Linked DNA regions of Oryctolagus cuniculus. The protein of the gene in region 1 purifies or fractionates together with the protein of each later gene. This does not show direct contact. Links are inferred from orthologs where the notes say so. Each region holds a gene or a part of one and is shown on either strand. Other genes may lie near its edges. The genes, in order: GLS and SIRT5.

The links.
Region 2: the proteins of GLS (region 1) and SIRT5 purify together in Homo sapiens (affinity purification with western blotting; 3 studies listed by BioGRID and IntAct, with this or other methods). This does not show direct contact. The link is inferred for Oryctolagus cuniculus from reciprocal best matches to the Homo sapiens genes GLS and SIRT5.

What each region holds. Positions count from the first base shown.
Region 1 is NC_091434.1:49,346,038-49,349,807, reverse strand, and holds part of GLS (glutaminase kidney isoform, mitochondrial), read left to right. Parts: intron 1-1,150; coding exon 1,151-1,227; intron 1,228-1,324; coding exon 1,325-1,388; intron 1,389-3,770. UniProt on the Homo sapiens protein: Catalyzes the first reaction in the primary pathway for the renal catabolism of glutamine. Plays a role in maintaining acid-base homeostasis. Regulates the levels of the neurotransmitter glutamate, the main excitatory neurotransmitter in the brain.
Region 2 is NC_091436.1:157,060,533-157,064,821, forward strand, and holds the start of SIRT5 (NAD-dependent protein deacylase sirtuin-5, mitochondrial), read right to left. Parts: upstream 2,999-4,289; 5' UTR 2,859-2,998; intron 2,845-2,858; exon of another isoform or gene 2,510-2,844; intron 2,306-2,509; exon of another isoform or gene 2,130-2,305; intron 1-2,129. UniProt on the Homo sapiens protein: NAD-dependent lysine demalonylase, desuccinylase and deglutarylase that specifically removes malonyl, succinyl and glutaryl groups on target proteins.

The DNA.
Region 1 (3,770 bases):
CTGTTCCTTCAGATAGATGTTCCTGGTGCATGTTGTCTCTCTCCTCCTTTATAGTCCTCTTCCACCAATCCCAACTCTGCTACCCACACGCCAAGTACGCTGCTCTCCTCCAATCAGGAGCAGGTCCTGCAGCTTGTCAAGTTGGTGAGAGGCAGCTGTGCAGAAGCTGTTTACTCCTCTCCCAGCGCCATATTGTGGGAGAGCAGATGCATAGAATAAGTCTTAATTCCAGTAACTTAGTCTAGTCCGAGTTGCTCCCCACATAGGAGTGTTCAATGTCCTCTGGATCACCAGGATCGGAAAGGCTGTATACCACAGTAAGGTGTACCACAGTAAGCTGTATACCAGTCTAAGGTCTCTTGTACAGTAAGGCTGCAGCTGGCTTATTTTTCAGAGAGCAAGCAAGAGTGTGCATGTGTGCCGCCTTTTCCATCTGCTGCTTCACCCCCCACATGCCTGCAGCAGTTGAGCTGGGTCGGCCAAAGCTGGGAGCTAGGAACTTAACTGTCTCCCACAAGGGTGGCAGGTTCCCAAGTACCCGAATCTCATTTTCTGCCCCTCAGGGTGCACATGAGCCGGAAGCTGGCGTTGAAAGCAGAGCTGGGACTAACCCTAGCACCCTAATTTTGGATGTGGGCACCTCGAGTGGGATCTTAACCATTGCACAAACGCCTGCCCTATAGCTGATCAAACTTTCAAGTGAAAAAATGTCTATGGTTAATTTCTACCCTTCATAAAAAGCCTGAATCTTACGTGTAAACCATAGCCTATCAAATGTTAAAGAATGGGAGTCCTAGTGAACACACAGAAGTATACTACAGGTATTAATTTCTTGCCCTTCTGAGACATAAATTTTGGCATAGTTGTACCATTATTCTTGAGTTTTGAATAATAATATGAATGAAGTGTAGTTCGGTGAAAGATGGCTAACATTTCATCTTTCCCCCCAAAGTGCTTGGGTAAGGACAAGTCGGGAAATGGTATTTACCCAGGACACCTGTGTAGTGGTTGAACAGTTCTCTCATTACCACTAATGAGCCTGGTGAAGAATGACATCTGAGAGACTCTTAGCTTTAACCTATGGGGTAAATGTTGCAAGTGTGAATTAAATGTTATGTACTGATGAATAGCCATGCTTACAAATTTTCAGATTTGCTTTGTCAGCCATGGACATGGAACAGCGGGACTACGATTCTAGAACAGCACTCCACGTAGCTGCTGCAGAGGGTAATATGTGAACCACACATCCTATTTCTTTTTTTCAGGTTTAATTTCTACTCAATACTAAAATCTGCCCTTTTCTTCGGGGTGGGATGGGATATAGGTCACGTTGAAGTTGTTAAATTTTTGCTGGAAGCTTGCAAAGTAAACCCTTTCCCCAAGGACAGGTAAGAACTCACATTATCTTCTTAAATCATTGGCCAGTCAGTATGTCATTCTACAGAGCTGTGATATTGTTATGGTGTACTTAAATACTCTAAGACATTCGTGAACCTGTTATGAAGTCAACAAGCAAAACCTTGTTCTGCTGCATAGATTCTGTCTCCCATATCCTATTTCTTAGTAAGAATGTTATCTTATTTGGAAATTTTCAAGTTGGTTTGACTGGCCTTCATATTTTGTAAAAGAAAAGGGTTCTTTGTGTTTGAAAAAGTAAAATGGGAATTTTGTCCACACAGGGCTCTTAGGTACACAAGGTAGACGAGGTAAATATTTAGAAGAGCATATACAAAATATGTAAGGGAACTGCTGTTAGAGAATGCTAAAATGAATATATTGGAATTTGTTCAAATTCCTGTATTTGAGTAGAATGTTTGTAAAGGCTTTGTGGAAGCGGAATTGTAATCGGTGCTTTGGGAAAGACAGGAGATTGGAAGGCACAAAAGGAGAAATTTGATCTCAGGGTGGGGGTGGGTGTGAAGGAGTGTTGTCTGTTCCTTTCCCTCCTGGTGATACTGATACTGGCTCACCCTGTGACAAATGAGGTCTTCAGGGGGCCAAGGCACGGGGCAGACTGTAGCTGAAGTGTAGAGGTGTACAACGAACTCTGTACTCACGTATTTGGACAGTGTAAACTGGAGTGGACGAGTCACTGAATGAAATTAGAGCTTAGAAGAAAGGAAAAAAGTTTGCGTTTGCTTTTGGTATCTGAGACCTGGGAGCTGTACGAAGTTTGGAGCAAGTTGGTTCCTCTCTCTGAGTACTAAATAGCTTGAACTATTTTTGAATCAGGGCTTTCGTCTTTTGGTTCAGCAGGAAAGTTACGTGTCTGAGAGTTGCTGGCAATTTTTTAAGTGGTAACTTCTTGGTTATGTAGCTCTTTCTGTAGCTGTTTTAAAACTCTGTGATTAAAGTGGCTTTTTATTGCAGTATTCTAAAAAACCTCATGTCAGAGTCACAGTCCGGCCTCTTAGCCCCAAATGTAATGCCCAGCCCAGCTCTTTCTACAGCAAGAAACTGCAGAGCCCCTCCCACTGCCCTGCCCCAACCCTGTTTATAATCCCAGCTAAACACTGCGGGACACATGCTGGAAATGTTTACTGTGCTTTGTGTATCTGATTTTTTTTTTTTTTTTGGCCATAAATTAGCCTGTAGGCATGTGGAAGTAGATGCAGCTGACAGGCAGAGTTGCTTAAGGAACTAATTTGGTAACTAGATAGTCAACTATTCCAACACGGAAACTAAAGACCTAAGGTAATTTTTTGGAGGAGTATTTCATAGAATCTTAGTCACCTAGAAGTATAACATAGTAGCGCACATTTAGTGTATTCTTCTTCAAGTTGGCATTTTCATTATTTCATGGAAGACTTTTGAAAGAAGTAACTTGCACTCAGCATTCAATTTTTCCCCAAAGACAGATGATCACATGCTGTGGAGAAACTGTGGATTCCTTCAGCCCCCATGTCCCCAAACTAATGAATGCCCAAAAGGCCACTTAATTAGCTGGGGTGTTTTTGGAGTAACACATAGATATGTGTAACGTGTTACTTACCTGATTTGAAAAATTAAGAACAGGTTACCAAACTGTATCCAAAAATGCTAAAGATGCCTTTTTAAAACTGATTCGTTCCATTCGATGACCCCCTTAAAAGGGCAGAAGGTTCAGGAGATGCTAAGCAGGAAAGGGAGGGAGAGCAGCAGGGAGGCAGAGAGAGTGGGTGTGAGGCAGAGCTGCACGTACAGGGCGGGAGGGGAGGGGAGGGACGTGGGGAGAAGACCGGCCTCACGGGATCCGTCATCTGCTGGGCTCTGAGTTTTACAGGGATGGCTGCTGTTGCTAAGGGCTTTGCTGACTAATCGCTGCTGGCACTTCTTCAGTTCAAGTCTTCATCTCCAGCGCTCTACACAGCACGGCCCCAGCAGCACACTTAGGACGGGAAAGCACAGGAGTTCTCCCCCTGGCCACACAGTGGTCGCAGGAGCCCACTGTTCCCCGTCCTTACCAGAGAAAGCAAAGGGTCCCTTGTGGAGCCAATCCTGCTTCTCAGATGCCCTGTGGTTTCGAGTTGACAGAACACAAATTGTGTGTCTAAGGCTAGGCTGCTGGATATTATCCACCTGCATTTCCGTTGCTGCTCTGGGCTCTTCATGAAGTTACATTTGGGAACGCTAGGCGTCTCCCGGATGTGCCAGGACCAGGCCTTCCCTGGCACTGGGCCACACTAGCAAGCTCCTTTCCTTCTCCTCTCACGTCCCAGCGTGTCTCCAAGCCGCTTGTTGAATCAGATTCCTTCCCGCATTTGGACTATTACTTTTTACTTGTAGTAACT
Region 2 (4,289 bases), on another chromosome or scaffold:
GCTATAACAATTAAGACATGGTACTGGCATAAAAACAGACATATCAATCAATGGAACAGGACAGAAAGCCCAGATATAAATGAACACATTTACATTGAGTGCATTTTTGACAAAGGTGACCAGAACACAAAATAGGGAAAAGACAGTCTTTTTAGTAACTGATGCTGGGGAAATTGGACACCCACACGCAGAAGAACAAAATTAGAACCTTATCTCCCACCATACACAAAGATCAACTCCAAACGGACAAGACACTTAAATATAAGACCTGAAGTTATAAAACCAGAAGAAACGTAAGAGAAAAGCTCCACAACGCTGGCCCAGGTTAGTCCCTGAGAAGCGCAGGCAACGAGAGTAAAATCATACAAATGGGACCGCATCAAATTAAAAAGCTCTGTGCAGCAAGGGGAACCATTAACAAAATGAAGAAAAAAACACATGGATGCAGAGACAGTACCTGCAAGTCACATGGCTGATAAGGGGCTAGCACAGGTATCTAAAACAGACCCAAACAATTCAACAGCAACAAAACAGCCTAATTTTTAAAATGGGCAAAGAAGCTGAATGGGAACTTCTCCAAAGAAGACACACGACTGGTTAGTAGATACGTGAAAAATGTGCACTATCTCTAATCATCAAAAAGGGCAAATGAAGCCACAGTGAACCGTCAGAAAGGTGTCAGCAAGGATATGGAGAAAAGGCAATGTTGGTGCAGTTAGTGGGCATGAAATTAGTGCAGCCATCATGAAAAATAGTGCAGAGGTTCCTGGAAGAACTAGAATGGGGCAGGCATTTGGCCTCGTGATTGACATCAGCTAAGAAGCCCACATGCCGTATCAGAGAACCTGGGTCCAATACCCAGCTCTGGCTCCCAATCCCAGCAGACTGCCAATGCGGACTGTGGGAAGCAGGAGGTGATGGATCAAGTAGCTGGTTGTTTTTTTGTTTTGTTTTGTTTTGTTTTGTTTTAAGATTTATTTATTTGAAAGGCAGGGTTACAGAGAGGCAGAGAGCGAGAGAGAGTACGAGAGAGAGAGAGAAAGAGGGAGAGATCTTTCATCCACTGGTTCACTCCCCAAATGGTCACAACAGCTGGAGCTATGCTGATTCGACCCCAGGAGCTAAAGATAGAACTACCAGTAACCTCACTTCAGGGCAAACATCCAGAGGAATAAAAATCAGTATGTCAAACAGAACTTGATGTCTATACTCATTTCAGCATTATTCACAATAGTCCAGATATGGGGACAACTTAAGTACCCATCAAAGGATGAAAGGATTTTAAAAAACATATATTATACACGGAAACAATGGAAAACTATGCAGCCTTTAATGAGAAGTTCTGCCACTTGCGACAACATGGGTGAACCTGGAGGACGTGGTCCTACATGAAATAAGGCAAATAAGGCAAATACTACATGACCTCACTTACAGGAAGAATATAAAAAGCAGAATAAACATTTAGCTGAGGCTGGAGAGAGAGGGGGAAAGGGGAGAGGCTGGGCAAAGGGCAGAATTTGAGATGGAGGACTTAGTGAACTTTTGCACAGAGTGATGACTACAGTTAATTTTTAATAACTATACACTTCTGGGGCCACTGTTGTGATATTGCGGGTTACGCCGCTGCCTGGGACACTGGCACCCATATGGCTGCTGGTTCAAGTCCTGGCTGCCCCACTTCTGATCCAGCTCCCTGCTGATGCGCCTGGGAAAGCAGAGGAAGGTGGCCCAAGTGCTTGGGACCCCTCACCCACATGGGAGACAGCGAAGAAGCTCCTGGCTCCTGGCCCAGCTCTGGCTGTTGCGGCCATTTGGGGAGTGGACCAACAGATGGAAGACCTCTCTCTCTGTAACTCTGCCTCTCAAATAATTTTTTTTTTAAATTATACATTTCAACATTGCTAAAAGGGATTTTAAATGTTCTCATCACAGAAAATAGGCTGTAATTAGATGAATGGATCTATCCCAATGTACACGTACACCAAAACCTCACATTGTGCCCCTAAATATAGACAATTAGAAACGAAATTTGTTTTGAAACATTTAAGTGAAGACAGAAAAAAAACGACTCGGTAGCGTATTGCAAAGGGGCTACGAACACGTCCACGGGTGTCCCCGACTGAACGAACCCAAGCCGGAACACAGACGTCCTCGGGCGTCTACACTGGCAGAATCCGCTCTCGCCAAGGTCACCTCCGCGGCGCTCAACCCCACTTCCTTCCCCAGGAGGTCACGCCCGACCTCGGCCCCGGGCCATCGCGGCCCCGACAGCCGCGTCCAGCCGCCGCCCGGCGCCGCGGGCCCGAGGACTCGGCGCTGACCGCTCGCTTCCGCAGGCGCCGCCGCCGCCGGGCTGGGCCGCAACGCGCGCTCCTCCGCGGCCCGGCGCCCTTCCTCAAACGGAGGCGCCCCCTCCGTCCACCCGCTCCGGCCCCGCGTCTCCGCCCTGAGACCCCGGCCCCTGCCCGGGACCCTCCCCGCGGCCTTCGAGGCTCCCTCACGCAGTCACCTGGGTCCCCACCGCGCTGCGCACTCGGCCACTCTCGGGCCCGCCGCCCGCATCGCCCCCCGCGCGAGGCCCCCAGTCCCCTCGTCGCCAGCCCAGCCGCGTCCCGCGCCCCGAAGCCCCACACCACACGCCCCCGACGCCCCCCAGCCGCCGCGGCGGGCCGGGGCCACGCAGCCGCCTCAGGGCCACGCATGCGCGGCGCAGGCGCGCGCCACCGCCGCCGAGCCGCCCGCGGCGCGAGGACGCAAGGTCGCGTCCCGCGGGACAGCTGGCTCGGCCGGACCCCACCCCGGGCCGGGGCGGTCGCCCGTGGCCGCGGGGTCCCCGCGCAGCGCGGGCGGAGACGCACCTGCGGGAGGCGGGCAGGGCGGGCGAGGTGTGGCGCGGCGCTGGCAGCGGGAGGCCGCGGGGCGGAGCGGCGGGGCGCCCTGCCCCGGCTGCGGCGCCCCCTGCTGGCCGCCCCGACCCCGCCGGGCTCCCGGCGAGAAGGGGGCGGTCCCCAGGCCTGCCCGCGGCGGAGCGTGGCTTTGTCTTCCTTCCCTTGGGGATCTGCGGGGCGGGGCGCGCGTGAGCTCCGAGGTTCCCCGCACGCCCGCAGCAGGCGGCTCGCACCGCTGAAGGAGTGAGCGTCCCGCGTGCGGGGTGCGTGGGTGCCCAGGCTACCCACCGCGGCGGCTAGGATGCGCTCACATCTGCCGTCTGTCCTTTTCTCCCGCAGCACCGCGTTTGCGGAGGTAGGGGGCAGTGGTCAGCGATCTTGGGGCAAAAAAATGGCACTTTAAACATGTTTTTTTCCGGGCTGGGGTTGTGGCGGGGTGAGCTAAGCTGCCGCCTGCCGGCGCTGGCATCCCAAACGGGAGCTGGTTGGAGTCCCGGCTGCTCTGCTTCTGATCCAGCTCCCTGCTAATGCACCTGGGAAAGCGGAAGATGGCCCAGTGCTTGGACTCCTGCATCCCCCTGGGGAGACCTGGATGGAGTTCCTGGCTCCTGGCTCTGGACTGGCCCAGCTCTGGCCGTTGCAGCCATTTGGGGAGTGAACCAGCAGATAGAGGATCTCTCTCTCTCTCTCTCTCTCTCTCTCTCTCTCTCTAACTCTGCCTCTCAAGTGAATAAATAAATCTTTAAAAACGGAAAGAGACAGAAATGTATATGACCTTCGCCAAAACAAAAAAAAAACTTTTAAAATAAATAAAATTTTAAAATCTCTGTCCTTGCAAGATGGTAAGTTCCCTGAAAGTGGCCTCCGTGTGTGTGTGTGTGTGAGTGTGTCTTCCTGTGATCGTCCAAGCACATCAGGGTCCCTAATGCTGTGTTCAATTAGTAAATACGCATTCCATGCCCAGACTCGAAGGACAGAGGCTTGGCTACCCGTAACAGAATTTAAAGGCAAAGCCCCCTGTCTCCCCCCACCCCTCCCATTTTTTGGTTGTGAATCTGTCTACAACAGCACATGACCAAAACAACAACAGCAAATGAGCAAAGGGGCACCTGTGAGGATATTTGGAAAAGTTCATGGAAAATGGGATTAAAAATTAAATTTAGAGGCAGGCGTTTGGCGCGGTGATTAAAGATGCCCACGTCCCGTATGGAAGCTCCTGGGTTCAAGTCCTGGCTCTGCTCCCTGTTCCAGCTGCCTGTTAATGCAAAACCTTGGGGGGCTGGGGGGCAGCAGGTAGTGGCTCCGGTAGTTGGATCCCTGCCACTCACCTGGGAATGAATTCCTGGCTTTGGCCTGGCTCAGCCCCAGCCACTCTGGGTATTCAGGGAGTGAACCAGTAGG